Linked DNA regions of Arabidopsis thaliana. The protein of the gene in region 1 interacts with the protein of each later gene in a pairwise test. Each region holds a gene or a part of one and is shown in the gene's direction. Other genes may lie near its edges.

Evidence for each region.
Region 2: the proteins of PRE5 (region 1) and AT4G30180 interact in a two-hybrid assay, tested with the Arabidopsis thaliana proteins (one large-scale study listed by BioGRID).
Region 3: the proteins of PRE5 (region 1) and IBH1 interact in a two-hybrid assay, tested with the Arabidopsis thaliana proteins (one large-scale study listed by BioGRID).
Region 4: the proteins of PRE5 (region 1) and SHP2 interact in a two-hybrid assay, tested with the Arabidopsis thaliana proteins (one large-scale study listed by BioGRID).

The regions. Positions count from the first base shown.
Region 1 is NC_003074.8:10,853,265-10,860,646, reverse strand, and holds PRE5 (basic helix-loop-helix (bHLH) DNA-binding family protein), read left to right. Parts: upstream 1-3,859; 5' UTR 3,860-4,333; coding exon 4,334-4,459; intron 4,460-4,713; coding exon 4,714-4,866; 3' UTR 4,867-5,024; downstream 5,025-7,382. UniProt on the Arabidopsis thaliana protein: Atypical and probable non DNA-binding bHLH transcription factor that integrates multiple signaling pathways to regulate cell elongation and plant development. May have a regulatory role in various aspects of gibberellin-dependent growth and development.
Region 2 is NC_003075.7:14,762,896-14,770,271, forward strand, and holds AT4G30180 (uncharacterized protein), read left to right. Parts: upstream 1-5,888; 5' UTR 5,889-6,132; coding exon 6,133-6,609; 3' UTR 6,610-6,876; downstream 6,877-7,376. Other genes in the region: AT4G30170 (Peroxidase family protein), read left to right, coding at 27-242, 398-586, 924-1,089, 1,181-1,587.
Region 3 is NC_003071.7:17,905,795-17,913,070, forward strand, and holds IBH1 (ILI1 binding bHLH 1), read left to right. Parts: upstream 1-3,212; 5' UTR 3,213-3,452; coding exon 3,453-3,923; 3' UTR 3,924-4,416; downstream 4,417-7,276. Other genes in the region: SPPL3 (SIGNAL PEPTIDE PEPTIDASE-LIKE 3), read right to left, coding at 5,439-5,548, 5,645-5,728, 5,920-5,990, 6,138-6,280, 6,619-6,711, 6,784-6,837, 7,041-7,197.
Region 4 is NC_003071.7:17,816,678-17,826,763, forward strand, and holds SHP2 (K-box region and MADS-box transcription factor family protein), read left to right. Parts: upstream 1-3,577; 5' UTR 3,578-3,749; intron 3,750-3,909; 5' UTR 3,910-3,924; coding exon 3,925-4,151; intron 4,152-5,580; exon of another isoform or gene 5,581-6,207; coding exon 6,208-6,289; exon of another isoform or gene 6,290-6,409; coding exon 6,410-6,571; exon of another isoform or gene 6,572-6,659; coding exon 6,660-6,707; exon of another isoform or gene 6,708-6,811; coding exon 6,812-6,853; exon of another isoform or gene 6,854-6,943; coding exon 6,944-7,129; 3' UTR 7,130-7,336; downstream 7,337-10,086. Other genes in the region: HVA22F (HVA22-like protein F), read right to left, coding at 783-809, 909-1,161, 1,253-1,375, 1,453-1,479, 1,578-1,624; PDF1 (protodermal factor 1), read right to left, coding at 9,650-9,992. UniProt on the Arabidopsis thaliana protein: Probable transcription factor. Interacts genetically with TT16/AGL32 in a partially antagonistic manner during flower development. Is essential for the coordination of cell divisions in ovule, seed coat development and endosperm formation.

The DNA.
Region 1 (7,382 bases):
TATAAATCACAAAGTTAAGTTTGACTTTTTGAAAAAATTGTCAAGTTCCGTTGACTTGACCATTTTAGACACGTCATTAAATTTCCGTTAACATAATTAACGATGTCAACCTTCTGTTAGAAATGTCTAATAAATCGAAATGACGTCGTTTTTAAAGCTCCAAAACGACGTGGTTTCATTAGAAACTAATGATGCAAAACTCGCGTCCACATATAATCGAACATCTAACCTATTAGATTCATAAGGGACAATCTTTCGAATGAGTATCCGATATAATCATATAAAAAATATTCTAACAAGACCCAATCAATTTTAGTGGATGGTTACTAGTTCTAAAAATCTTAACTCAACCACCATGAATTAGAACCGAAGCGAAACCGAAACTGAACCAATTTTCTATATTTACTCTATTGGCTCTTAAACTCTTTTATCCGAAAATGAGAATCCAACATGAATATCCCAATGCCGAGACCAAACTGCAACATACATTTACGGTATACTCTCCCCCTTTTAATTATATCATAAAATGTTTTACATTCGACGTTGGTAAAAGGAAGATAGTGTAGGAGTTATAACAATTATTAATTGGTAAATTGATCAATCAGTATTTTGTTGAGCGCAAAGCAAAGGTAGATGAAGTGTGCTTAAACATCATTAAGTAATTTGTCGGGGCATAATTTTCCCTTTCTTTAAAACAAACTTTTTTTGTTTGCAACGCATACATATTTTTATTTCTTCAACAAGGAAAAAAAGCATATTTTTATACAGTATTCTACTTATAAAAAGGTCAAGACGTATTATGACTCGTTGAAATCACTATTATAGCATGCTGAATAATAGTATATTATTACGCATTTTTCGTAAAATCGTATTGCTTAAACTACGTTGATTCCGCAGCGTAAACCTAACCACGAAAATTACAACTATTCAAACAAAAAGAAATTAAAACATGTATATAGTTATATCGGAAAATTCAATTATTGCATTATTGCATAAGGCTGCTTTTCTCATTATTTTATCAATAACTTAAATTTGAATAATCTTATTTTGTTACATTATGTTTGAATGGACCAAAATTGATAGGAAAAATCAAAAGGGATCGTTGGACATAAAAACATCGTGGAGCCTAAGAGGCCTAACATTCAGTACGTGAAACCCACATGGACTAACATGTTACATCTCCCTTAGCTATTAATTTACAGTAATATATAATGTATACTTATAATGTGCATTGTTTTTCTTAAGAATATTAGAGGGAGTTTTGGTTAGATACTTGATTTTTTTCCTTCTTCTATTTTTCACTGAAAATGCAAACTTTTATTAACAAGAAAAAAGTGGAGTCAACACAAGTATGGCTGCGTAAACCAAATCCAAAAGTTATAATGGCAAAAATCTGTCATAACAAATCCGAGTTTTAAGGTAAAAACAGAGCCAAAACATAGTGATTAGCTTCTTTCCGAATATGAGAACGAACCTTCTCAAACAAGGGCTCTTGACTTTTAATGTCTACGTTGGATACACATCGTTTTAATGTATATTTATGGTGAATAATTCATGTTGTCGTCAATATCGTTATAAATGCATGGTATAATTTTTGGTACGCATTGTCTGCTCCATTGTGTGTAGAATAACTATTCGGAGCTAATCTTAATTTTGAAAATGCGCGGATAAAAGACCGTAATTTTACATGGCTTTTCTCTTGATAGAACTTATAGTAATACGACAAATTTAAACATGACTAATTTTGTTGAAATATATTTCTTTCGTTTGTAAAATTATGAGTTTAAACTCACATTGCAGATAGACTAAAGACTTGACTATCAAAAAATCAAAAACTAAGATCAGAAATAGAAAACACATAGGCAAAGTTCCTAATTTGCAAAAAAACAAAGACAATACCAATAATCTATATATGCAAACGAAACGAATATGATGATGAATACGTATCATTTATGCTATGTAGTATTGTTCTTGATAATTACGAATGGTTTAACAATATAATTATGTAGATAACGTTTAATGGACAATTGTATATATGTCGAGTACTTTTCTCAACCTAGCTATACGCCTTCAATTGAGACGTCTTATTTGTCTTCATTACAACAAAACAACAAAAGACATGCGTGCTTACGTTACGGTCACTCAAAATTTTATACATTTTTTGTTAATTGTATTTAATCTTATTAATTATTATGGTTACCATTACTCTGTTCACTTTGCACTACTTGTTTAGCATATTTTGTAATAACTAAATTTATTTTACTCATTACCTTCAATGTATTTCAATATTCTAGTCACCAAAATGTAAATTTCCCGGGTTCAGTGATCAATAAAACAGTACAATTAGTCTATAACTATTTGTTTATGTTTAGCTAATTGAAATGTGTTTAACACTAAAAGCATTTCATTCAAATAGAGGATAAAACAACCATATTACAAATTTAATTAATGTGATGCGAAGCTAAGGCAAACAAAGCTGTAACAATCACATACTTAGATGTCCCCATAAAGGACGAGAAATAAATAAAAACGAAATAATTAGTATGAACATTTTGATTTATATCTTTTTCTCTTATCACAATTTGGATTCAAATCCGATGTATGTGTATTGTAGAAAATAAGCTATTAATATGTTCGCCTCCATCTATTGCTCTACATGTAAATTTTGTTTTAAGTTTCTAAATCATAAAAAAAAATTAGGTATTAATAATTACAGAACTTCTCCTTAATTAAGTTTAGATTTTTAATTATAAGTCCTGGTATATATTTTCCTATTAGCTTGGAAGTTGGAGGAGAAAACATGGTTCAGTTGATTAGATTTAATACCAATTAATTAGTAGACTTTTCCTAATTTACTGACACTTTTGTATGTTATGCAAACAATGCACACAAATAAAGGACATAATTAAGTACCTTGTGTCCCCGTGGTAATCATGATTTAGAATCTAAGGAGGCATAATCTGAGATCTGAAGCAACCATATGGGACATATATGATATATGCCATTAAACATCAAGTATACTAAATCTCTCAAGCTTCCGAAACATAGGAGTTAAATTAGGAAGCAGACGAACTTATCATGACTACTTTTTTTGGGTAATCCATTGCAAGACCGAATCAAAGTCCACGCTGCTTTATTTTTTTTTCCTTTTTTTTTGCGGTCTATATAGATTCAATAAGGAATATCAACACATTGATTCAAAATTATTTGTGCTACTACAAGCTATGTGTAATAAGTTTTAAGCCATGTGAACACACTAATTTAACTAAACCAGTTCATCTAAATTGATTTGGATTACTACATATGTGTTCTTGTGACATATCATACATGACAGGAAGTTAGGTCTATAATCTTGAATGGAAAGTTATGTTCAATTTCGGATCAACCACAAACTTCCTAGATCAATTCTAGATCTTTCTATAATTCTATGGATCCAAGGTGGGATAATATCGTAAATAGTAATGAAATGAAAATAGAAAGTCAAGGTCATCACATGGTATTGCCTTTTAGTGACATGCACATAAAGGGCCACATTGTTAGCTCAACATGGAACACTTCTCTTAAATCCCACTTCAACTTCAACACCAGCTTTGGGAACATTCAGCTTTTTCATCTATTTCTCCATTAAAATGTCCAAAATCCTCGTCCATTATTCAGCATAACTATATTATATACAATTCTTTCAATTATTAATCTTTTACTAGTTTTACAAAATAAATTTTGATTTATATCCATACAAATAGTTTTTAAAAGTTAATAATATATGATAAAGCTATATAAGTTTTCCTTTAAATTAGTGAGTACTTTTTATTATAAATATTCATTTCTAATCTATGTTACTCTATGTAGATGAGATAAAGAAAAATATAATTTTATTTAAACAAATTTTGTTTGAGGTTTTATCAAAGATTCAAATCTCTTTCTCTCCCATTACATCATTGTCTAGGTTTATTGATCTCTTCCCTCTCTCCCTTGTGGTCCTTGACCTCTTTAAATCTCTCTTATCACTTTCTCATTTTCTTTATATCTCGAAGTGTCTCTATTACCCGAAACACTTTCTTACAATTTTCTCTTCTCTTCTCTTTTCGTTGCTCTTCTTTTTCTTTCTTTCACACCTCTTCAACACAAATATAAAACCTGTAGAATAAACACAAACCTTCTACATAACTTCTCTCACTTTTTTTTTTTTAAAACTCTCTTCTTAATAACAAACCCTTCTCTCTCAATCTCTTCTCTATTATCTAATCTAGAAAAGAGAGAAAGCATACAACATAAAGGTTATTTTCTTGCGGCATTGTAGTGTTACACCTAATCACAAAGTAAAAACAAGAAAATGTCTAACAGAAGATCAAGACAAACTTCGAATGCTTCGAGGATCTCCGATGACCAGATGATCGACCTCGTTAGTAAGCTCCGTCAGTTTTTGCCGGAGATTCACGAACGGCGTCGTTCTGATAAGGTATACGACATATATACATTCATTTCACCTCATTCATGTATATACAAAAAAAAAAAAAAAACTGATCTTTTCGTCTACATTTAAATCAAACAAAAGAAACCAAAAAAGTCGGAACATTTGACTCCTGACAACATTTTTGAACTTCGAAAAAGTCTTGTTTATGTGGTGTTCGTACATGTGTGTATATATATTAATGTTCTTGATGATGTTTGTTGAAAATGTAGAATCCTAACATTATTATTTGTTCAAAATAGGTGTCAGCATCAAAGGTACTACAAGAGACATGCAACTACATAAGAAAATTGCATAGAGAAGTTGACAATCTCAGTGATCGTTTGTCGCAGCTTCTTGACTCTGTTGATGAAGATAGCCCTGAAGCTGCCGTGATTAGAAGCTTACTCATGTAACCTTCCAATATTTTTTATTATAACTTCTTAATATAGTATTTATTAATTTATCTATATATGTAATCTTTATCGTCCTTTATATATCAAGCGACGTGCTTTTATCTTTTATGAACTTTGGAATTTTGGTACAGAAATTTACATTAATTTCTAGTCAGTAGTCTCCTAAATTTCTGATATTTATTAAAAAATAATGGACATTGTGATGTCTAAACTTGATTGTGTTAGTCAAATATAAAAATAAAAAACAATGCCGAATGAAATAAATAATGAATAATCCTTCAGTTACTATTTTTGTTACAATTGGATAAATATTTCGATTTTGAAATTTGTTATCAACTAATATTAATGATATACATTTTTCCGTTTCTAATAAAATTATTGAGGATAGTATTTGTTGGGTAAGCACCGGCTCATAATTATTGCATTCCTATAAATGACTATGACGTTGACGAAGTAATGAGAGGTATCTACATTTAACGGTGATAATTAATCTATGAAAGCTAATGAGCATGAGTGTGTATACGAATGCCCGACTAATCTTTTTGGATTTTTTTTGGTGTACATGTTAGAAATGTCCCATGAAGACCTTTCGCTTTGACGAAAGATTCATAATTTTCTAAAAATTGTTTACAGAGATTTAACAGACTGCCAACTTATGGAATATAGAAAATTAGTTATAAGACCTAAAATTTATGCAATCATTCTCATATAAATATAGGATTAAGAATTCTACAAATTTTAGGATTCATATATGAGAAGGATTATATAAATTTTAGGTCTTATAACTAATTTTCTGTATTCCATAAGTCTTAGGTTTTCATTAATAATTTAGGAAAGAATAATCTTATTACACCAACAAAATATGTATGCAGTATTTGCTATTATACCAAGATATTTTCGTAGTTTAGCAATTGAGAGTCTCTTATGAGTCCAATAGGTTAGTAGTTTGCTTTCTCGTAGGTTTTCCATCTATTTTCTAATGAAATGATGTCATTTACGAGCTTTCAAAACTATGTCGTTCTAAGTCTATATAGGCTTCTAACGAAAAATTAACTATGTGATCGTCTGGTTAAGAAAACTTAATGACATTGTCGAAATAGTCAAGTTAACGAAAATTCATCATTTTATCATAAATCAAACTAAAACTTTGTGATTTAAATGGTATTTCGAAAATGCATGTTTTTTCATTCCAAATTTAAAAGTTCGTTTTTTTTATAGATTTTTCACGTTCATATATGGGACTACTGGAAAACTTAGGGGGCTCTAAGAATAAGTATTTATCCTTTGTCATAGAGCGTTTAAATGATAGAATTAATTGATGGTCATCAAAATTGTTATCTAAAGGTGAGAAAGAGGTGATGATTAAGCTGCGTTACATACTTATGTGATGTCTTGTTTTAGACTTATCAAACTCGGTCACATCAAAACTTACCAGCGCGGTAGCAAAATTTTGGTGGAGTTCAAATGGAAAATCAAAAAGTATACACTTGATGTCAAGGCATAAGTTATGTCGCAATAAATCGATAGATGGAATATCTTTTCAGACTGTGGAAGACATTAATACTGCATTATTGTGATCTTTGATTTATTATTTTCTAAGGTTTTTAAAGGAAGATATATTTGGAAATCAAATTCCATGGATCGAATTAGATCCAATTTGATTATATGGATGAGAGAGTATTCTATCTGCTCGACCTCTAGTTAAGAACTTATTAAAAAAGTTGGTTCTATAGAGTCAATTTCAATATGGAATGACCCCTGGATTCCTGCTAAATATTTGTGGCCAGCTTTAAACAAAGGTTATAATTATAACCCATCTCTTCTTCTGAACAACTTGATTGATAACTAGACAAATTCATGAAAAATGGATTTGACCAACATTATTATTGACCCTAAAGATGTTCCCCTCATTTGCGTTATGCCTTTAAGTTTGCACAACATATTGGACACTCATCAACTTTTCCAAGAGAATTTCTCCATCTTTCCATCTTTAATAACTTTTTCCACATACCTTGTAAAGGAAGCCTTTGTAACACATGGTTCTAAGAATCTTGATGCTCTTGATCTCACAATAATTCTCTCCTTATAACCCTCAAAAATCATGTCAGGAGATTCAGCAATCTTATGACGAACTAACTTATCCAACTGATCGGTCATGGGATTGTACCAATCAGTTATCATGTATGTTTTGTACTGAACTACTGATTGGTTGATTGCTTTGATTACAGCGCAAAACTGATCAGTCTAAAAGACGCATTGTAACCGATCAGTTCTGATTTTGTAAACTTTCCATTTTTATCTTCTACGACATCGACTCTTTTGTATATAAATATTCTATGTATTCTAACCGCAGATGTATGTAATATTACGATTTTTCTGAATCTAAAGTTTTTTCTTAACTTTGTTCATCTTTTTTTCTGCTGGTTTATTTTGATTAATTATAAAAAGCCTTTGGTAATCCCTTCTTAAAGTCTTGATTCTTCTTCTACGATAATCACATGAACTTTGGTCAAGTG
Region 2 (7,376 bases), on another chromosome or scaffold:
GATTAGAACATTGAATTGAATTAGCCATGGAGAAGAATACTTCTCAAACCATCTTCTCCAACTTTTTTCTTCTCCTTCTCCTTTCTTCATGTGTCTCTGCTCAGCTCCGGACAGGTTTCTACCAGAACTCATGTCCGAACGTGGAAACCATTGTACGTAACGCTGTCCGTCAGAAATTCCAGCAGACTTTCGTTACCGCTCCGGCCACTCTTCGCCTCTTCTTCCACGATTGCTTCGTTCGTGTACGTTACAATTTTCTTTTGATATTTTCGTACAATATAAGAAGTTTATTTCTGATCGAAATGTATCCCCAAAACATCTAGATTTAGAGTTTACGATGTTTATCTTCTATGTATCATTTTCAAATAAAACATTATCTTTACGTATGAATGTATAGGGATGTGATGCGTCAATAATGATAGCATCACCATCGGAGAGAGACCATCCAGATGACATGTCATTGGCCGGAGACGGATTCGACACGGTGGTGAAGGCGAAGCAAGCCGTTGATAGCAATCCCAATTGCCGCAACAAAGTCTCATGTGCTGACATTTTGGCTCTCGCCACTCGTGAAGTCGTCGTTTTGGTACACTAATATATATATATATATATATATATATATATATATATATATATATATTTTACATCACTTAGTTATTCCTCTATTATTCCTTTAATACATATTATATAATGTCCGAGGTATTGAAAATTCGTTTTTTCTACAGTATATATCGTTTTCAGTTTTCTTGTGCGAAAAAGCTAATCATATCATTAAATATAATACAAGTACAAGTAACAACTACACAGTGACACTTTTTATTGGCGGTTTGTAATTTAAGACAAGTACAAGTAACAACTACACAGGTCATATAGTAATCTGATCAGATAATAACAATAGTAATCTGACTAAATAAAAATTGCAGACCGGAGGACCAAGCTACCCGGTGGAGCTAGGGAGGAGAGATGGCAGAATCTCCACGAAGGCCAGCGTTCAAAGCCAATTGCCTCAGCCCGAGTTTAACCTAAACCAGCTCAACGGCATGTTTAGCCGTCACGGCCTCTCTCAAACCGATATGATTGCCCTCTCAGGTACCAAAACCGAACTTAACCTATTATATTTTTCTACTTTAACCAAATTCTTATGGTATAGTATTAATGTTATTGTGACGTTATAATTCAGGAGCACACACTATAGGATTTGCACATTGTGGAAAAATGTCAAAGAGAATATACAATTTTAGCCCTACAACACGTATCGACCCGAGTATAAACCGTGGATACGTGGTTCAGCTTAAGCAAATGTGCCCGATCGGTGTCGACGTAAGAATCGCAATCAACATGGATCCGACCAGTCCACGTACTTTCGATAATGCTTATTTCAAGAATCTCCAACAAGGAAAGGGTTTGTTCACGTCAGATCAAATCTTGTTCACAGATCAACGGTCAAGATCTACAGTTAATTCGTTTGCCAATAGTGAAGGAGCTTTTAGACAAGCTTTCATCACAGCGATCACGAAGTTAGGTCGGGTTGGTGTTTTGACTGGTAATGCTGGTGAGATTCGAAGGGATTGTTCACGTGTCAATTAGTGTGATTTGAGGTTTTCTTTCTTTTATTCCTTAAAGAGGATTTTTTTTTTTAATAATAAAATTTAATTTCTTGTTGTCAAAATAAGGAGTTCATAAGTGTGAAACATGGAAACTTAAATTAATAAGATGGGTTTATTTCGTTGACAAAAAAAAAAAAAGATGGGTTTATTTCGTTTCTCTCTTCTCCTTTTTATGGTATTCCAGGGAGGATACAAAATATCAAAGTAGAGATCTTGGATAGATTTATTACTGTTAAAGATAACTGGAGAACAAACAACTTTTTTTTTTTTTTTTGTAAACAACAAACAATTCATTTTATTGCAAAATTTATAAAAGATTTGAAACGAGAAACATTACCAATTTATTCTTGACAAAGTTATCAAATATCTATATCTTCACCGCTAAAATCTTTCCATTCGACTATAATCCTCAATCCTCTTTATGCATAATTGCTATTGTTAACTTGGGCTACACTTGGAGTCTGGACTTGCTGATTTGTTGCATTTGTAATGGAGAGGCCCATTATTCTGACCCAATCTAAAAGTTCTAACAACTGCAGCTTTCTTCTTCTTCTTCTGCTTAATTTTTCTTTATTTACGACCAATGTTTTCAAACTCGAAACGATTTGGCTAGTCAGAATGGAGAGGCCCATTATCCTCGTTAACTTGGTAAGTTTGTGACTTTGGTAAACTTAAATGATTTATTTAGATAAATGATCATAAATGTTAATATATAAATTATCAATGATAAAGCTGTAACTTCAAGCCTTCAGATTTTTTTTACGTTTTGAGCAAAATACCCTTAGCATTTCGTATAATCATATGTTAAACAGCGTGGTATCACTATAAGATCAAACCAAATAATCAAATTGCATATAATCATTATTAATTTTTTTTATTTTTATTTTTAATTGTATATTATTTCTCTAAGCAACATGTTATATATTTTGTCTAAAACTGTTTCATGAGTAAACTAGTATGTCGTTTTGAGTGTCTACCATGTTTGTTTTCTTTCTTAAATCTCTTAACATGTATTTATAGTTATTTACTTGATTTAATACTTATTTGGTTATAGTTTTGAAAAACCTTGTCAAGCCTACTTGCATGTGGACCAATGGACCGACCAAACAAAAGAAAAGTTTTTGTTTCTTTAACGCATAGAACCCAATAATCTCATTCTCATATTTATTTTGGTCGTCGTACACTTTTGAGTTCCTTTTTTGGCAAAACAATAAAATTTCATGTTCCTTTTTTACTAAATGTTAAGTTAAAAGAGCTATTTGAAAAACAAAATAAAATGCAGAAAAAAAAAGGATGTGAAGGAGGATGCGACTCGTAGTTGCAATTTCCACCAGATACAAGGAAATCTTTACTGCGTTTCCCCTGTCCCATTCTTAGTTTTTTATTACATTATTTGTACAACACAATAGTTTAATTTATATAAAGATTCCTGCCAAATAGTTTGACATTATGATATGCGTCCTTCGTTTTTAATTATTTCTGAACATTATGTTAAATGCCCTTCGTTCTTGTTTAAATCTTATATATATGAATGTTTTATTAACAAGCCAACAAAAATAAACGTGTGTGTTACATAATAATACCTAGAGAGCTAGACATTAAAAAACCTCTATACGTATATGGATGAAACAAATGATACAGATTGTTAAGCCATTTAGAAAATCCGTGGAAGTGCAAAATGGTTGAAAATGGGTGCTGGATTATGTTTATTTTTTGGTCTTAATCGAGAAAAATATAATAGTTATCTTGTATTTTATTCGTATGAAGTCTCTTTTACTATATTATCATCATATCATGGTGGATTATACATTTTTAAATATATTTAAGGGAACTAAGCATAAGTGATATGTTAAACCTCGATCCTTTTTAAAGTAACTTTTTATCTATCCTCTAAATTTTACGTAATGCTAAAATTTTGATCACGAAGACAGGACATTACATATGAGATATATAGCCATATAGGCAGTGTTCTTTTCTACTCTCAATAAACGAAGATGTTGTAGAAAGAAATGTTAAAGTGAGTGCACGTGGAGACATTTGCGAAGAAAATAGCTCCAAATTAAGAATACAAACAAAACACTCGAATTCAAACCCACATGAGATGTGTCCCTCCCAAATCCCAATCCAAGCCATATCTTTTTCTCCTCTATCTGGGTCCGCTTCTCATATTATTGTTGCTTACACCTTTTTAATTCAGTTTAACTATTTCTTTTTAAAAAACTTATATAAAGAAGAGAAAACAAAATTTAAGAACAGCACAAACAAGTCATAACATGCCATCTACAATATTCGATAGAAATCTCCACAGACCTTGTACAATTCATTCTGACAGTTTTGTACGATTTCTTTGTGGTTCATACTGCAGACAAAATAGTTCTATACTATTTTAATATTATTGGCATTAGTTGGTTGTATTCATTATTGTTCCTTTATATATCTTTTTACGTAAAGATACTGTTGAATAATTACGAATCTGGTTTTACCTAGCTTGATTGTGTGATTGGAAAGAGTTACATTTAATTCGGTCATTTTTTCAACGTGGATTGTCAAAGGTGGAAAACCATTAAGCAAAATTCCAAGAAACTTTTATGATTATATGCATTATTGTTCAATGTCTACTATAGGTGTGAATGTCTAGTATCTATTTTGGTATCCACATCTATTAGTTTGCATCTCAATTTCTTTCTCCTCTTAGATTATATATATATATATATATATATCCAATATATATATATATATTATTTCGTTTGTTTTTAACTAGAAAATTCCTCTACCTTTATGTACTTTTATCTACTTGTATTTAGTAAAGTTTATAGATTAATTAATTTCATCTAGATGGGTTACCATTAACACATGTTTTCCACATTCAATCAAAGGTTATGGGATTGCATTAAAATATAATACGAGAAAACATCACATTCTAACAAAAAAAAAGATTATTTACAAAAGAGAAATAAAATTTCCTTGCTGCATTGATTGATAATCTACTAACCCTTGACTTTTTTTGTGTGGTAGGATAAAGAACACAACAAAACCAATAAGAGATCATTCAGTTTTGGCTATTAACAACAAAAGCTAGTAACGTGTATATTGCATGTATCAAACACTATAAGATTAAGAGACAACTTGTAATGTCTCAACCGCCCATGTTTAGTAGTTATAGATATTGTTTGGACATTTTATTGTTATTATTATTATTATTATTATTATATATATATATATATATATATATCTAAATGATTCGGTATATATTTTAAAAAATAAAAATAAAATAACAAATGAGTAACACCCAGACTTTCATATCATATCAAAGGTGACCTTTTGTGTCAACATAAACTATATTTATCTATTTACAAATCCTATAGGAAAAATTAAAGTCATCTTTAAACCTGGAATGCAATGATGCTTAGAATCAAAAAATCACGACTAAAAGTCCTTGACAAATAAAACGTATTAATAACCCAATTACTGACCACATGCATCTTAACTTTATGTTAATATGCGTAGTAAAGAAACTTGTATCTACGTCATATTAGTTACAGTGGCAGTAAAATTCAGTTTCAAAGATGTTTGTCTTGATATGTTGTACAGATCACCAATTGAACTACCACTAATAATAACTAAATTTCTGTTTAGCAAGTTACCATCTGTATCCAAATATCGCAAAAGTAGTGGGTAGTGAAACCCAAATTCATCACACATGCAGCATAAAAAAAAAGAAGGTCAAATGGTATATATAATATGAGGGAGATCTATATTAAGATAATATGGGTAGAAATGACATAGATTGATCAAACTAATTAGGAGATTGGTCCAAGGACACATACACATGCATACATGTATTATGTATATACAAAGTGTGTGAGTGAGTGAGTGAGAGAGAGAGAGGTTAAGAGGAAGGAACATGTGAAAGCATTAAGAGAAGGTGGGGTTTTGTATTGATGTCTTGTTCTTGGAATGGAGCCACATGGTAAAAGGGTCTCTCAAAGCACCTCTTTAGGGGTAGTTGTGATGCAGCCAAATTAGAGCTCTTGCATGTGACTCCATGTGTTTTTTCTTCCCTCACCCATTATTATTCCCAAATTCTTCTTTTCTTATTTTTCTCTCTTTATTTATGTATATATATATATATATATATATATATACACACTCTCTTTTTGTTTTCGTGTATTTTCTAAAAATAAATGTATTATACAAAAAAACATATATTAGTTGATGATATTCAAATTCCGTTGTTTTTAAAATATTTGTCTAAAAAAGAAAACTACTAACTACGACTTTCAAATAGTCTTGTGTTTTGTACGTGAACGAAAAATAATAACACTCCCAAACATATTACCTCATATATGTATACAAAGAAAATTAAGTTCTACAACTTTACTTTATACATCATCAACGCTTGTTATATACAAACAAACGTAGGACACCGCTCTTCTCTTTCTTTGTCTCTCTCATATTCTAAGTTTGCTATATATGTAACTTTCTCCCTTGTAGACTTTCATTTGCAGCAAAAATAGTTTCTCATATGGAGAGGCAAATCATAAACAGGAAGAAACGAGTGTTTTCTCTTGAACCAAACAAGAACCCTAGTGCAGTTTTCACGAGAAAATACACAAGCCACTTGGTTCCTGCACTCAAGAAGCTCAACATGAACAAGAACTCTTCAAAACAAACCGTGAAGCATGAAGTAGATATGGCTTTGGCTTTGTCTGCTCAAGAATTTGCATGGAGCCGTTTCTTGCTGCAGAAGCTATCGTCCTCATCGAATCCAACCACTACCACTAGTTCTTCTTCCGATGGAATTCGGATTCTTGAAAGACCCGATAAAGAAGGCGGAAACGAAGAAGGAGGGATAGAGGAGAGACTGAGGGAATTGAAGAAGCTTTTGCCAGGTGGGGAAGAGATGAATGTGGAAGAAATGTTGAGTGAGATTGGTAACTACATTAAATGTCTTGAGTTGCAGACGATTGCTCTCAAGTCCATTGTTCAAGATAGTACTTGACTTTTAGTTTAAGTGTATAATTTATAGTTTGTTTCATGTTTTTTTTGTTGTCTTTAAACGAAAATCATCTGTGTTTTTTTTTTTCTCTTGATTTCTTTAAGAACAAGAGCATGTATTATAGTGTTTTTCTTTTTTCCTTTTCTTAATTAATCATGGTTACCGAAATACCTAAAGTACCACACATGGCCGTTTATACGTACATCTTATAAAATTCGATCAAAATCTGATTGAAATTTAAATTATTGGTTGTAATGCCAAATAGACGATGTGCTGCCTAAAATAAAACTCTTATGTTGTCTTTTTTTCCTGAATTTATTATTTTAATGTTATGAGCAAATCTCCAAACTTTAATATTCTAATCATTTTAACCTGACAAACTTTGTGTTTGTGTATATATTTATATTCCTGCAAGTTTTTTTTCTCCTTTAGCGAAAACATATGAACTTTCGACTACAAAAAATCAGATGTAACAAATCTTCAATTAAATAAAAGCTACACATTAGTAGAGATCACCAATATGTTCCAGCTGCAGTAACTACAGGTGCACCATTAAAATGTAAACAAAAATTAGGACTACTGGACTAGAATTACTTTCCAAAAAATTCGATGAATATGAAAAACAAAACGCCGAAATTGTAAATATCTAAAAAGGAGGAAAGTTGGATGACATATGTGTAAACTATGAAAGTCATAACATTGATTTGAAGTCATCATCCATATCTTTGCACGTGTCTCACAGTCACTCGCACGCATCCAAATCTCTCTAT
Region 3 (7,276 bases), on another chromosome or scaffold:
TAATGTTGGTCAAATGGTTGGTCGTCTAAGATTAAATAATGGGTGGAAGAAACGAATTAATATCTACATGAGTCCAAATTCGACACTGTGCCAATATGCTAGATGCATGCATGTCTTTGATGAGTTTTCCGGAAAACTCTATTGAGCCTTGAAAATTTATCAAAAATATGTATGATGCGGATTAATTTGTATATCATTTTTCATAACCACAATTTCCAAAGAAATAAAAACGTACTTAAGACATTTACTGTGGCCAACTATGTTATGAATAATGAATTCAGAGTGAAAAGATCGATATGAATAATTGAAGAATAGTGATAAATAATTGAAAGCTTAACATATGAAAATAATTAAAAGAGATAGTTAATTAGGAAGTGGTCTTCGTTTTGAGTATTAAAATCTTGCCTCTCTAACAATAGGCAAGATTGGCCCACTTTTTCTATTTCACGGTTCTGTTTTTTAACTCAATATTTGCATGTACGTGTGTATGCGTATGTGTACATTAAATTTATCCCACGTGCAACCCTTTTGTCTCTGTCCGTTTATTTTATTCCTCAGTTTTATTAACCAACCAAATCGTTTTTGTGTTACGCGTAACTTACGGTCTATAATTATTTTAGACCGAGAGTCTGAATATGTTTAACTAATTAGATCTTTCCTACTGTCGATTTTAATATGACATGGTCTTCTCTTTTAAGAATTTAAATTACCGAAAATTGATCTTCAATCCGTTTTACATGGACTTCTCTATGATGATATTTGAACAATATGTCTGTACTACAACAAACATAGTTAAAGATATTTGTAACATCTATTTAGGCTATCGTAATTCGTAACTGGTTTTGTTATATAAGACATTTTCAATGAGTTTATTATATATGCTTTTGCATAAAGTTACAAACACTATATATGCTTGAGTCATGGTTTGCTTCGTGACTCGTCGTCGTCGATCGCATAAATTATCTTTGAGGTTTAAATAAAAAATGAAAGAAAATGAGCGCCGTCATGTTATCCACCGGAGAAAGTAAAACGGAGCCACGTCAACAGTTACGGAGCAAAGTCGCCGACAGTTGTAACGTCAAGCTTAATCAGCCGTCTTCATTTTGAACATAACGTAATAAAACAACCAAACACTCTTTTTTCCTCTTTAACAACAAAAGAGGCGTCAGTGCTTACGTGGCTTTTCACACGTTCTGATTTTCAACATTTTGTAAATCATTATTACTAAATGACCAATAGCATTTATTCTTTTGTTTTTGTTTTACATTTTTAGTTGGGATATTTTAATCAACTAGTATGATAAAGTTTATTCGCCCCCAACGACTTATTATTAAATTAAGAAGAGAATCAAAGAAAACGAATGGTGTAGTTAATATTAATTGAATAATTAGAACAAAAAAAAATTAAAGATAAAGATAAGAGAGAAAGGAAAGTGGAGGTGGGTAAAGGCCATAGCCATGTGCCTTCATGTGGTGGTTGGCCCATTAGTGGACCTACTCTACCACTTCTTCAACTCTTTTTTAGTTCTTATTATATGATTAACACCTTCTTATTCATTTGGTTTCACTCCTAATATCAACAATTTTGTAAATTGTTATTGACCCGAAATTGTTAATCTTTAAACGTATTTTTATGATAGATGTGAAATTTGAAACCTTAGAGAAAACAGTGAGATTTAAGGGATTTTGGAGCTGAATCTTGAAAAAAGATAAATATGATCATGATGATGTTATACAAAAGAATTAAATGGCGTGAAAAATACGTCCGGCGGCAAAGCGGTAGGGGAGAGAGTGATTAACACAAAAGAGATGGGACTAATGCTAAATTATAGCCTTAACCAAACACTTATCGTATTCCTCAAGTCTCTCTTCTCTTCTTTTATATTTTCATGTGTTGTCTTTTCTAAATTGGTTAGTAATATTTGGTGTATATAAATTGTAACGTCATCTATTGGTCAAGCCAATTGAATAATCTCATATTTTGTTGTTGCTCTCTTGCATGGTGAATACTTTGTTATATATCTGATCAATTTTAAACACGTTTTATCTTGATGATGCGAGTGGCTAATTGATTAAGTTTATTAACACTTTATATCGTCGAAATAATCATAGTTATTCTCAGGTTCAATGGTGTTACTTTCTAAACTAACGTATAGTTCAAACTCAGTTTCGAATAAACATCCTCAATCAGTCGTTTCACGAGAGTTGGATTTTGGCTGAATTTTGTTTGTGGAAGTAAATATCGAGCAAGTAATGAATCAATTAAATTGATATTTTGGGTTTTGTTATTTCTTTTGCCTTGAAAATGAGCTTATATGTTTTCCACAATCGATCATATTCCATCTTAATCGTCATTAGTTGTCAACTAATGTTAACATAAATACATACATATATGTATATAGCTTACCTAATTTTATCATAATAGTCTCTATTAGCTGTTCACGTTAATGAATTCATACGCATTCGTCACTAAATTAACCTTTTATAAAAACAAACAAATAAACATAATAGTGTGGTTGGAATCTAATTCCATAATCTGATGTCTGCTCTAAATTGCTCTTTTTTCCGTTAATACCAAGCTATGAACCAAACGAGCTTGATTAATTTGCGTCTAGTACTTAAACATCATCCGAATTATTATTTTGTTTTAGCTAAGATGTATACGAGCATTAATGCTATATATATTGTATTTGGGTGTAGTATACATTAATATTTCAAATTTCAAAATAGTCAAATATATATACCCAAAATAGCCAAGTTCTGTTAATCTATTGGCATCAACTTTTTTCTTCAAGCTCCAAAACATCGTTTTCCACTAATTGCCCATTTATTTATTCAAGACTTTATAACACTAGGTGTAAATTATACTTTTCCGAAATACATGGGTTATACAATTCACATTTCATTTTAAAATTCTAACACATAATGATATATTTACACATCTAAGTAGCCACCAGTAAGCAATCGATGTCAAACCACTAAACCATAACAGACGAATCTACAAAAAATTTGAACTAATATTAGTAAACCCCCAAAGTTAAACATAGAACTGTATTTATTTGCTGTTCACCATTGAAGAAAACTGCCACTTATAACTTCATATTCTCATATTTTTACGCAACGTAACTTTGACGGACCAATTAAGCTCCAAAATTCAATATTTCAAAGCTATTAACACATCTTTTTTTTTTTAGAACATGAGTTATAAATAGTTGAACCTATAGTTTAAATTTAAACTTTATAGAGAATTTGAATAGTTGTGTGTCTTGTGACATAAAAAAACATAAAGAAAAGTTAAGTACAAGGAAAAATAAACATTATTTATTCCTCTCTATCTCTCTCTCTCTCTCCACCTTTCCATTTATATTAACCCTAATATTGTGTCATTCTCAAAAAAAAAAAAGTTTTATAAAGGTTCTCAACTCAAGTTCTCTTCTCTAAAAAACCCAAACAATGGCCTCTGCAGACAAACTCATAAACACAGATGTCCCTGAAAAGGACGTTTTTGCCTTCCACTTCCTCCAATCCCTCTCAAATCTCAGAAAACAAAACCCTTTTGATACTCCGGACCAAAAAAACTACCGCGTGAGGAAGATCAAGAAGGCTGCGTACGTTTCCATGGCCAGAGCAGCCGGAGGGAGTAGCCGGCTATGGAGCAGAGCCCTCTTGCGTAGAGCAGACAAAGATGACAACAAGATCGTAAGATTTTCAAGGAGGAAGTGGAAGATATCATCAAAACGGAGGAGGAGTAACCAGAGAGCTCCGGTGGTGGAGGAGGCGGCGGAGAGGCTGAGGAATCTTGTTCCGGGAGGCGGAGGAATGGAGACGTCAAAGCTGATGGAAGAGACGGCTCATTACATCAAGTGCCTTAGTATGCAGGTCAAGGTCATGCAGTGTCTCGTTGATGGCTTATCTCCCAAATGATCATCAATTAATCATCAACATCATCATCAATGATCGATGTATATAGAGATACGACACATACATAGTCTATTGGATTGGGGTAATCATAACGAATATATATGTGTATATATATATATATATATATATATATATTCTTATATATATACATACGTGTAAGATAGGATACATATATGAAATGTGTGGATATGTATTAGTCTCGAAGTAACGAAAGATTTTTTTCTTTTTCTTTTCTTGAATTTTGATAAAAGGGGATTTATTATTTATCATATGCTATGGCCGGTTTAAACATTAGGGCTTGGTAACTTGCCCTTGTCATATGATAAAAGGGGATTTATTACTTATCATATGCTAAGAGAATTTTCTTTCTTCTTTTCTTTTAAGCTATGCAATTTACTTGGTTCCTCTTGATTGTGTTATTCGTCAATGATGTTTCTATGGATGGATTATATATATAAAGTTATAACATATTAGTTATAAGAAAATTATAGCGGAATTATAACTATCATAAAATATACATTCTGTATTTATATATCTCCTATACATATACGACTGTTTATGTTTTTGAGAAAATATATGATAAATCTAATAATTTTAAAAATATATATTTATAGAATTATGAATCATTTAATTAAATGATTTTTTTTTGTTTAACACGGAGTTACTTGAATAAGTCTTAAAAATACTTGACATTATATAGGTTAAAGAATTTTGTAGAATATATATAATTTAACTCCTTTTTTGTTTTGTATAACTCTTTTTTCAGGTAAGAGAGATTTTTTTTTTTGTATAACTCTAACATTTCATGATTTATGTCGGATTGAATTCAAATGGTCGCTCACAACAACATTATTAACAAAAATTACAAGACTCTGATTACTTGTTTTCTTTATAATCACATTTTCCGTTGGAAGGATTATCTACACGTCTTATTTATGCAGTTGGTCATACTTATATTTCATACGAGTGTCCTACTTTAATTTGTCAATTATTATACACGTGTACGTAAACAGACAAATTGGTCAATTCCACATATTTCACATCAAATATCTGATTCGTGCATTCGTTTTCGTCAGAATTTCATTCCATCAGTCGAATAATATTTGAACAAACTTTCAAGTTTTATGGAATTTTCAAAGACTTATTTTTCCCAAAAAAGAAAACACACAAAGATTAACAAAAGGGAATTTGCATTATACTTGAAATTCTACAAAAACGAGTCTGAATTCAAGAGAAGGTTAATATAGACTCTGTACAACATGTCATGAGTCTTACTAGAGAACCTTTCTTTCTTCTCCCCCAAAACAAGGAAAAAAAAACGATATAATACAGTACTTTCCGATGTGTCTTGAATTACTTTTGGTATCCGATTAACTTTGGCTTTGCAGAGAACTTACATCATCAGCTTTTGTGTACCTCTCACATATGAAATCTGCTTAAGCTATGCTCGATGTTTTGGGGAAAAGCTAATTCAGTTTGATTGATAACACATCATTAGAATATTGTTGAATCATGTTATTATGCCACAGGCATTGGATCCTCCGGTGTGTGAGACTCTGATTCTTCGATACCGTAATTCCATAGTTCTTTAAGCTCTCCTCTTACCAACCCCAGTATGACGGCCAAACCTACAGAGAGAAAACACATCAGGTTTTGTTTGAGAACGATGGAGAGGAGTGTTCAAAAACAGATGGAGGAAAGGGAACTCAAGCTTCTGGTTTTACCGAGTGTGCAGGGTACGATGTACAATAGTGCCGGCTGGCCATGTCCGTCCATAAGATACAGACCTAGGTATGTCAGTAATAGACCTACAAAACAGAACAGGAAGAAACAATGTTTCTGTTAAGTTCCAAGACTGTGAATGTGAGAAGCCATCTCGATTAGCAAGCTATGTTATTTTATAGTCGGAAAATATAAAATAATTGAGATCATTTACTCTGTTGTATAAGCTATGTAACGCCATTAATGTTCACAGAGTTAGTAATGCGTGGACACTTACCTATTCCATAGCCGATAGTCAACCAGAGGAAGTACCCATTTGATATTACCCTCTTTTTTATCTTGTCATATCTGAGATCAAAGAGTGGAGCAAGTATTAATCGTGGGAGAGGATTGGATGAGAGAATCGTTGAGAAAGACACTCTGGAGAAAGTATGGGCAAAGATGGAATTCCAAGTTGTTCTTTGAAGCTCTAAGAATGTCACTGACTAAAAGTACCTGGAAGCAAAGGAAATGAGCAAACCGGGGAAGAGGATGTCCCCAAAACCAATCATGTCATAACCACCCCAAGGATCAAAGAACCGAGGAATCCTTAGTAGCATCGGAATGGACTCCCCAGTGCTGCTGTCTCCTTGGGCAACCTACAAAGAAGGGAGTTTCAAATAAGAATATACTGGCTGAGCTTCTCTGGGCCCTTCAATTACTCAATTATCACAATCGACTACTATTCAAAGTTATTGAGTTATAAAGTTACTTGTGTAAGCTGTTGACAAAACGACAAAGATACTACAGCCCTACCATAACAAATTTATGTGTCACAAAACAAACTTCAATGATACCTTCCGAAACAGCATATTTTTTTGGTCAGAATTGCAGAAACGAAACAAATCACATAACTAGCCCCTTTCTAAGCCTAACCTGGATAAACTGAGTGTAGCAATAGAAATGATAAATTTTCGACTTTGTAAGAGATACTCACCACAATCATAACACTCTCGTGAAATATCAATGGAGATATGAAGACCCAGAAAATGTCATAGACAAATGCGCAGCAAAGAAGTACAGTCGCAACCTGGAGTACAGACCATTATAAGCATAACAGAGAACAATCATAATTCACTACACAGCAAACTAGATAAAATACCTTGATGTTAGGTAATCGAACCACTTGCAAGGCAGTGATCATCAAACATATGCCCTGTCAACAAGATGACAATAAATATTTCACTAAGTGCAGCCCAAGGAACCAAAACTTCTCAACATGACCTCTTCCTTTATGGAAAGAGTGGAATATGAAACTAAATTAACAAAAATAGCAGAAGCGGTGATAAGAGAAATAATGAGAGGAAATGGTATCTAGATGCATGTAGTGACGAAGAAAAAGAGAGCTATGGGAGTTACCAAAATGTCTTGGCCAACCCAAGAATACGATGTGTGACGTTTTATAAACCAGAAAACAGCAAACGCCAAACAAACAATATTCACCAAAAGCGACAACACTGACATTGTTCCAAGCAAAGGGAGCTTCACAGATTTCCGAGCAAGATGTCTGCATTTTCTGCAGGCGGAACAAACATATATCTGTTAAGAGATGTTGACCAGAAAAAGAGAGAAGTGAAATAATCAGGAATATTTCA
Region 4 (10,086 bases), on another chromosome or scaffold:
TACGCTTCAATCTATGAGAAAAGAGGGGTTTTTGGAAATTATTAATGTGTGTTCTTTTCTTTTTTTAAGTTGAACAAAATAAAAAATAAAATTATTAATGTGTTTTTTTTTGATAAATTGGAAATTATTAATTTTGCGCACTCAATTCTTTACCAATTAAATTAAATAAATGGACGAAGAGATATGTAGACTTGTATTATCTTTTTCTGACGTCATATATCAATTTTTTATGTATGGTTTGTGGATAGAGATGGACAAATAATAATAATCACGGATCTCAGAGTATTAAAGTATAGAATATAGATTAATGACCCTAACAAAATTAATCACATTTTTTTTACGTCATATGAATTACATTTTTTTTGTCGTTATATGAATTACATTTAAAAACTTCCAAAGATGTGATTTTATTATTTTACATAATTAAATTAGAATAAAATTAGATTTAGGAAATTAGCAAAACACCAATTGTGATATAGCGCGAGCTTGAATTTTATTTTTATTTTTATGTCAAAAAGAGTGTTGTATTCTCATTTTAATTCGAATCGTGTCCTGATGTTTTGTTTAATCAAATTGAGACCCATCCAAATGTATGTTGTCAAAAAGAGTTGGACTGGCTTCTCTAATAGTATCTTTGGTCATAGAGTACTAGAACACAAATTTGTCACCATAAATCTTTCAAACATATATATCTTTTTCATTATAGTATTGCTCTATACAATCTATGTACATACATGTACAAACCAAAGAGTAATGTTTTTCTTGACTCTTGATCTTCCATCTCAATGCTTTCTAGTTTCTTTTTCAGCCTACATTTGAACACAAATAATGAAGTTAAACTCCCAGAATATATGTATTGGATTATATATACATAACTATATTAAAGATCAACAAGAGAAATCATATACCGCTTTGATTGCTTTCTCAACAGAATCCCATCCAAACCGGTCAACGTAGTCTTGAACCGATTTTCTAGCATCAAGACTCATCATCTGTAAAACTCTTCTTTGTTCGTCTGTATAATTCGTTCCTCCTCCAACATTCATCCCAATTTTGACGTATTGTCTAACAAAATTGGAGTAAATGTAAGCTGCACCACTGAACATTGGTAGCACCAACCACATACAGAACAAAAGCTTCAAGTATGGCCAAAATGGTAGCCTACAATATGCAAAAGAACACCATTTTTTTGTCTTTATAGGCATAAATTTTTGAATTCGTAACAGAATTTAGTGAATAATATTGTAATTACCAGGCAAGGACTCTCCAAACGGATAGCTCGAATATCGTTATTAAAGAGTAAATGATCCAATATGTAAGCCATTGTTGATCATCTAACATTGTTGGACTCTCTATTGCTCGAAATGATGCATACCTAATCATTTATTCAGTTAACTATCAAGTTGCATTTGTAAAAACCAAACATTTAAATTCAGATTTGATATCACTTACAGAGGATAGAGAAGCATGACTCCAGGCCTGCATGCAACAAGAAAAAGGAAGAAAATAATGTTAAAAATTTGACAAATATAGTGTTTATTTTTATTATATGAGACAGAATTTGAATAAAATCCTACCCAACTAGAGCATCAAAACGTTTTGCAATCGCAATAATGAAACCCATTTTCTTTTTGAGTTTTTACTCTTCTTTCAACAGAAACTTTCTCAAACGTCTTTAGCACTGTGACGTTGGATATATACACAAAAGCTTGAAATTTCTTCAAGCAAAAGAATCTTTGTGGGAGTTAAGGCAACAAGCCAGGTAAAGAATCTCCAACGCATTGTTACGTTTTCATGAACCTATTTATTATATGTTCTAAGAAGAAAAAAAATATCTCAAAGTAAACGTTGGAAAATTTCTGATGAAGGGAAATCCAAAGTCTTGGGTTTAGTATCCCTATGAATGGTATTTGGAATATGTTTTCGTCAAAACAAAAGATTCTTTTCTTTTTCACAAGAGTTAGTGATCAATAACTTATGCACTAATTAATGAGATTGGACGTATACACAATTTGATTATGATACTTGAGTAAAAATCACCTGTCCTTTAATTTGGAAATCTCTCTTTCTTACCCATTTATATACTACTTCTTTTCATTAAAATTAAATTTCAATTATCAATCATCGTTCAATTTGATAAAGATTTAACATTTTTTGTCACAGGGCTAGTAAAAGCAATCTTTACATAATTCATCTTTCTTACATATATATATTACCTTTTTCTTCATTAGTATTCTATTTGATTATGATTATTTTGTCATAAAGCTAGTAAATTAAACACTCGATATGAGAATTATATTACTTCACGCTAATTAACTCTTAACACAACAAGAACTAGTGCATATTCAACTTTCAAAGCATATACTATATATTGAGAATATAGACCACGAAAGTCAATCAAAAGACCTACCAGCTCTCATCAAGTTCTTTCTTGAAATGATTTTGCAGAATTTCCAACTTAATTAATTCGACATGAATGTGAAAATGTGTGTTGCTCGTTAAGAAAATTGAATAGAAGTACAATGAAAATGATGAGGAATGGGCAAAACACAAAAGAGTTTCCTTTCGTAACTACAATTAATTAATGCAAATCTGAGAAAGGGTTCATGGATAATGACTACACACATGATTAGTCATTCCCCGTGGGCTCTCTGCTTTCATTTACTTTATTAGTTTCATCTTCTCTAATTATATTGTCGCATATATGATGTAGTTCTTTTGTCTAAATTACGTAATATGATGTAATTAATTATCAAAATAAATATTCAAATTGCCGTTGGACTAACCTAATGTCCAAGATTAAGACTTGAACATAAGAATTTTGGAAAAACTAAACCAGTTATAATATATACTCTTAAATTGCCATTTCTGAACACAACCAAATAATAATATATACTATTTACAGTTTTTTTTAATTGGCAAGAACACTGAAATCTTATTCATTGTCTCGCTTGGTAGTTGACAAGTTATAACACTCATATTCATATAACCCCATTCTAACGTTGACGACGAACACTCATATAAACCACCCAAATTCTTAGCATATTAGCTAAATATTGGTTTAATTGGAAATATTTTTTTTATATATAAAATGCCAGGTAAATATTAACGACATGCAATGTATATAGGAGTAGGGCAATAAAAAGAAAAGGAGAATAAAAAGGGATTACCAAAAAAGGAAAGTTTCCAAAAGGTGATTCTGATGAGAAACAGAGCCCATACCTCTCTTTTTTCCTCTAAACATGAAAGAAAAATTGGATGGTCCTCCTTCAATGCTCTCTCCCCACCCAATCCAAACCCAACTGTCTTCTTTCTTTCTTTTTTCTTCTTTCTAATTTGATATTTTCTACCACTTAATTCCAATCAATTTCAAATTTCAATCTAAATGTATGCATATAGAATTTAATTAAAAGAATTAGGTGTGTGATATTTGAGAAAATGTTAGAAGTAATGGTCCATGTTCTTTCTTTCTTTTTCCTTCTATAACACTTCAGTTTGAAAAAAAACTACCAAACCTTCTGTTTTCTGCAAATGGGTTTTTAAATACTTCCAAAGAAATATTCCTCTAAAAGAAATTATAAACCAAAACAGAAACCAAAAACAAAAAATAAAGTTGAAGCAGCAGTTAAGTGGTACTGAGATAATAAGAATAGTATCTTTAGGCCAATGAACAAATTAACTCTCTCATAATTCATCTTCCCATCCTCACTTCTCTTTCTTTCTGATCATAATTAATCTTGCTAAGCCAGGTATGGTTATTGATGATTTACACTTTTTTTTAAAAGTTTCTTCCTTTTCTCCAATCAAATTATTAGGGTTCTTCAGTTAATCCTTATAAACCATTTCTTTTAATCCAAGGTGTTTGAGTGCAAAAGGATTTGATCTATTTCTCTTGTGTTTATACTTCAGCTAGGGCTTATAGAAATGGAGGGTGGTGCGAGTAATGAAGTAGCAGAGAGCAGCAAGAAGATAGGGAGAGGGAAGATAGAGATAAAGAGGATAGAGAACACTACGAATCGTCAAGTCACTTTCTGCAAACGACGCAATGGTTTACTCAAGAAAGCTTATGAGCTCTCTGTCTTGTGTGACGCTGAGGTTGCTCTTGTCATCTTCTCCACTCGAGGCCGTCTCTACGAGTACGCCAACAACAGGTACACATCTTTTAGCTAGATCTTGATTTTCTTGAATTTTTTTTCTAGAATAAAGTTTCGACTCTTCTGGTGGGTTTTTCAATCTTTATGGTCTCTTTATAGTTTTTTTCCTTAGTTTCTCTGAAGCTCAAATCTCTTTAAAAATCCCCAAAATTAGGGTTTGTTTAAAACTAGGGAACCCTACTTTAACTTCTTTCTCTTAGTAAAAAAGCAGTGAGGGTCTTCTCTGATCATTAATTAGCATCCCCCATACCTTGTTCCAGTCACTTTTTCTCCACAAATCCTTATAACAGTATCTATATATGTATCTATTTATGTCAGTTTGTACAAGACACTTCGATCAATTTGATGACCCATCAAGTTTTATTTCTGCAGATTGATCATTAGGTTTCCATCATAGTAATGAAAAAGTAGGGTTCTTGATAAAATTATAATAATATATATTATTTGGCTATATAAAAAAGCTATGTAGATTCCTTCAAAATTGATTCACTAGGGAGAGACTAGTAGGTGTTTGTCTTCTGACACTTCTCTAATCTTTTGGTGAATCCTTTTGTTAAATCAAGAAAATGAATCAGGGACAAAGCTTATTGTTGAGTCACTTAATTAATCATCCGATCCATCAATCAAGAAAAATAACGAAACAGAAAATTTTGATTTTTGATTGTTATTTTCTCCACTTCAAGTTGGGGACTTGTCATTTCCGTTTTTCTATACGTTTCCAGCTATTAACAGCTCATGTTCATTTCACCATTTTGATTATTTGTCTGCTTTTTAAAGATAAATGTTTTCAAAAATATTGTTTTTATTTGCTTGGCTAGTTAATACTATAATTGAGGTTGATGTATGACTATAATCTATAAGTCAAGTCTCATATCATGGATCTAAGTTAAAACTAGTAAATTTGTAGTTTCAATGTGAACTTTCACAACGACTAAAGAACTGATCTGAAGTTTATAATGGACATGACTAATTTGATTAACAAAAGAGGAATGCATTATGTATGTAGAAACATGTGATATATATATGTTTCTATTATCAAAAGTGTAGTTAACTTTCTTATTTCAAACACCCTCATGCTTTAGTAGTATCTTACTTTTGACATTTCTCAACTTCAGCTTTCCATTATACAACAGCACAATGTAAATTACTTGTATATGAATATGAAAGCATAACGTTATGCAAAGATTTCTAGCTTTTCTTTTTCTGTTTTGCAAAAGATTTACAAATATCATGTTCTTGGTAAAAACATACTTGCCTCAGCCACATATGCATGTAAATGTAATGTTCAAATATTAATTCAGGAAAAACAAATGAAGAAGCAAAATTAGCTTCTAGAGTAGGGAATCTATTGACTTGACCTGAAAATCACTTCTTTTTCTTAAAGCCTAGTAGTGAATTTTTTAATCTAATTAGGCCAAAATATATACTAGCCTAAAATATAATTTGGATTTTGTGTCGTACATAAATTGGGACCAATTCCAATTAACTAAGAGCATATGCAATTCAAATTCTTTTTATTTTCTTCTCCGATTTGCTACTTCTTTCTTTTGTATGTTTTCAAATTAGGATTACACTTTTTTGGGGAAGTACACATTAGGGTCTTCTCGAACTTTGATTATACATATATATATATATATATAACTTTGTGAGATGTCACTGTTAATAGATAATAGGCAATAACAATAATATCCCAAAAAAAGAAGGGCAAACAAATCATATACTATATGGTACTGGTCCATTCACTATTTTGTCGGTTGAATTTAAGGTTTTGGGCGGACAAAACTTTATTTTCAAAACCTTAATATCCGTCTTTCTGTGTGTTTTGTATATCCAGAAGATAAAAATATCAATTTCTTTAACGACTTCATATATATATATTTTTTTCTCTTCTGGTTTTAGTGTTTGAATCCAACAGTTATAGTTTCGTGTGTCTTTGTTTTACTTGTGGTGGTTTAAGTTTGAGATTTTCACCGATTGCATCTATTTACATATATAGCTACCACAAAAAAGATTGCATTTTAAAATCTTTTCCTTTGTGTGAATGTTGATGAAGTGTGAGAGGAACAATAGAAAGGTACAAGAAAGCTTGCTCCGACGCCGTTAACCCTCCGACCATCACCGAAGCTAATACTCAGGTTAGCTTTTAATTAATACACCTAGCTAGCTAGTTCGTTAATTACTTAATTTCTTCTTCTTTTAGTTATCTGACCTTTTTTTCACCTCTTGTAACAATGATGGGATCGAAATTGATGAAGTACTATCAGCAAGAGGCGTCTAAACTCCGGAGACAGATTCGGGACATTCAGAATTTGAACAGACACATTCTTGGTGAATCTCTTGGTTCCTTGAACTTTAAGGAACTCAAGAACCTTGAAAGTAGGCTTGAGAAAGGAATCAGTCGTGTCCGATCCAAGAAGGTACAATCACTAACTCTCCATCAATCTCCTTATCATTGAATATATATCCATCTGATTCTTGCCCGTTATATTTGGTTTTTCTCTCCAGCACGAGATGTTAGTTGCAGAGATTGAATACATGCAAAAAAGGGTAAAAGTAAAACCTATCTTCCTTCACAAGTAACTTACCCCCTACTTTATTAGCAACTTCTCTTTCTGATGATCATCTTTTTTTATTTTCTGTTGTCGCTTGCATTGTAGGAAATCGAGCTGCAAAACGATAACATGTATCTCCGCTCCAAGGTTTTATACATAACTCTTTTTGGCATTTTTGATCATCATTTTTTTCCGGTAGACAATCTCTTGATGTGCAAATTCTAAATATCTCTGCAGATTACTGAAAGAACAGGTCTACAGCAACAAGAATCGAGTGTGATACATCAAGGGACAGTTTACGAGTCGGGTGTTACTTCTTCTCACCAGTCGGGGCAGTATAACCGGAATTATATTGCGGTTAACCTTCTTGAACCGAATCAGAATTCCTCCAACCAAGACCAACCACCTCTGCAACTTGTTTGATTCAGTCTAACATAAGCTTCTTTCCTCAGCCTGAGATCGATCTTATGCATATATATATTCATGTTACACTTACTGTCAAAAAACTTAAAATGCAGATGGTAACGATTTGAGAGGGACCTAATAATTTACATATATCTTGATTATGTAAGTTAAGGCTAAGACAAGAGATCCAAAAATAAAATGGGATTTATTGCTAGTTAGTGTTGCATATTCAAATCAAAATGTGTTGATGTGACGTAAAAAAAGCATATGCAATTTCAACAAGACTATTGAGATGCAGTTTGAGATGCAAAAGCTGCATATGCATAGATAGATCCCAAGTTACATCTAATTAAGATCTTTCTAAATTCTAAATCATGGACATGGAAGATATAAGCGATATATATAGGCCAAACCTTTTTCCCCCTTTTGTTTTCAAACTGCAGAGGATATAGTCTCTTTATCCTTCTAAATCAGCTCAGGATTTTTCACTTTCTAAGGTAATGCATAAATTTACAAGAAAGAGATCGTAGATGGTACCTCAGGTTTACTAAGACAAGGCAACTGAAATGAAAACCCTTGTGAATTTGAGAGTCTTGCTAAAGTTCAGTGGATCAGGATCTTAGTCCCAGCGTCATGTCATAGAGGGACAAGAAGATGTGTAAGATCTTCAACAGCAATAAATCCTGCTTGTAGAAGTTCCTGTATTAACACTCTGCAGTATATGAGACTGTATCAAGAAGGAAGCTTGATGTGAGAAATTGATAGTCTCTACATCCACAGCTTTACCAGTACCTAAAACTATGAAAGGACATCATGCTGCATCATAAGATGGAACTATTAGTAGAACTTTGTGTCATAATGTTTTTGGATTTTAGAACCCTTGACCTTTAATCATTCTCATTCTGCGTCGAAAACCTGCAACAACAGAAATGGCAGAAGATATTTGAAAACAAATGGAGCTAAGAGATGTACCATTTTCTAATGAATTCAACGAGACTTTTCTTCCTCAATTCCATTGTCAGCAGCTCCTCCCAAGCTTTCTGCAAGACTTAATACATTCATGCATTTCTCACCATGATTTATAGTATAACGGCCAAAACCTGTCATAGTGTCTTGACCTAACTTTTACTGCAAGAGAGCAACCAAACAAGCTACATATCCTATCAGTTTGATTTAGTGAAAACTCTCATAGCTAAATTTTGTTTACTGCTACATGTGTTCTGGCATCTGTCTTAATCTGAGGTGACTGTCTCCAAAAAATAAGTTTAGTTTCCTTAACATAGAATGTGATTAGGTGAAAACAGAACACTTTCAATTCAAAATGATAAGAAACCACTTAGTGAGCTATGTTCCGAAAATTCCACATGCTGATGAACAAATCAAGCCTAGAATATTCAATCGATGCATCCAACTTAGCAAGGAAAAAAAGTTGAAATTCTTGAAGAAAAATAACTGCAGAGCTAGAACTTGAGAAAATCTACTTAATGCTATCATCACAAACCAAATAAATCATCATCCTCTGTTCACACATTGATCATGACAAGCATATATCACAATTTCAAAAAGTTTACTCGTTCAAATTACTTCAAAGTTTCATTACTTCTGAAAAAGCTCTCCATGGCTAAAACAGATTCAGTGGATCAAAGTTTGATTACTTCTGGATTAGTATTATTTTTCGTATGGATTTTGTTGACATTATTAAAAAGTTAGAATCAGTCATAAGATCATAAAGTAGGAAAAAATAACAGCCTTGGGTGAAGATAAACTTGGATAGAGATATTTCTCAACCTCCAAAGATGTCGTGTTTCCATAACCATGACACACCAACTTAATATCATGAATGCAATTCCAGACACCAATAGAGAGAGTCATTAAAGATATTTTCATTGGTGGGTAGAACTTGGGGTTTGAAACTTGAATGCATGGAGACCATCTTGCAATATTTACTCCACAGAGTTTATTACACTAACACCACACTTTTGATATGTACTCCTTCCTTCTTTAATGCTATAATGTTTGCTCCTTCTCTCTCTTTCTCCTGCCCTTGTCGTTTTTGGAGTTTAATCCAGTTGTTTTCACTTTATAGACACACCTCTTAGGCATGATTTTAAAAATGCTCATGAACAATTTAATGCAACAGTTATGACAATGTGTTGGTCTGTGAGCATGTTAATCTAGATTTGGACTTTGACTTCTCTGTACCTTGGTCTATACATTAAATTATCTGTTATCTCTTTCAATATTGATGTTTTATGATCCTATCTATAGTTTCTTGTTCGGGTTAAACTTGCATATGATTCATTTCTTTGGACATTCTTGAACAGTGATTGAGAAACAGAGGAACTACTAAATCTTATTTAAGATCAAGAAATTTTTTGAAACAACAACATTAAATAAAAGGAAGTATCCATCATAAATATTACTAGAGACTATAGGACACTTCAAATTCTACTGAGCAACACAAATGACAAGATAATTAATTAAGATTGTTTTTGATATAAACCAACAAACAAACTGAGAAATGAAACTCTCTTAACTTCAGACTCTAGGCTTTAGACGACCTTCATTAGCAAGCTTGAAGGTATGGGCCTGCTTTGTGGCTGCCTTGTTTGAGGAAAGTCCTGCAACAAAGTGGTCTCTAACTTGAGGGGTTGTGAAAGGGAACTTATGGTTGACCATGGAGTTTAACCAAGAAGCTGTGCCTTCACGGTAGAGAGCACCAATGGGATCAGAGCGGGTGTTGGAAAGTGCCTGAAGAAGGTTCATGTGAGGATCAAACCCTGGAATGCTACTGGGAATACTGACTGTACCAAAAGCTCCTCCAACAGTTCCCCACCATCCAAGCAAGCCCCATATCAATGTAGGGTGGTTTCTCCAGTAACTACACAAAAGATAAACAAAACACATGAAGTGTGATAATTGATATCATCATCTGTCTTATGATGTTTGTATAAGAGCGAATGTTTTGACACTTA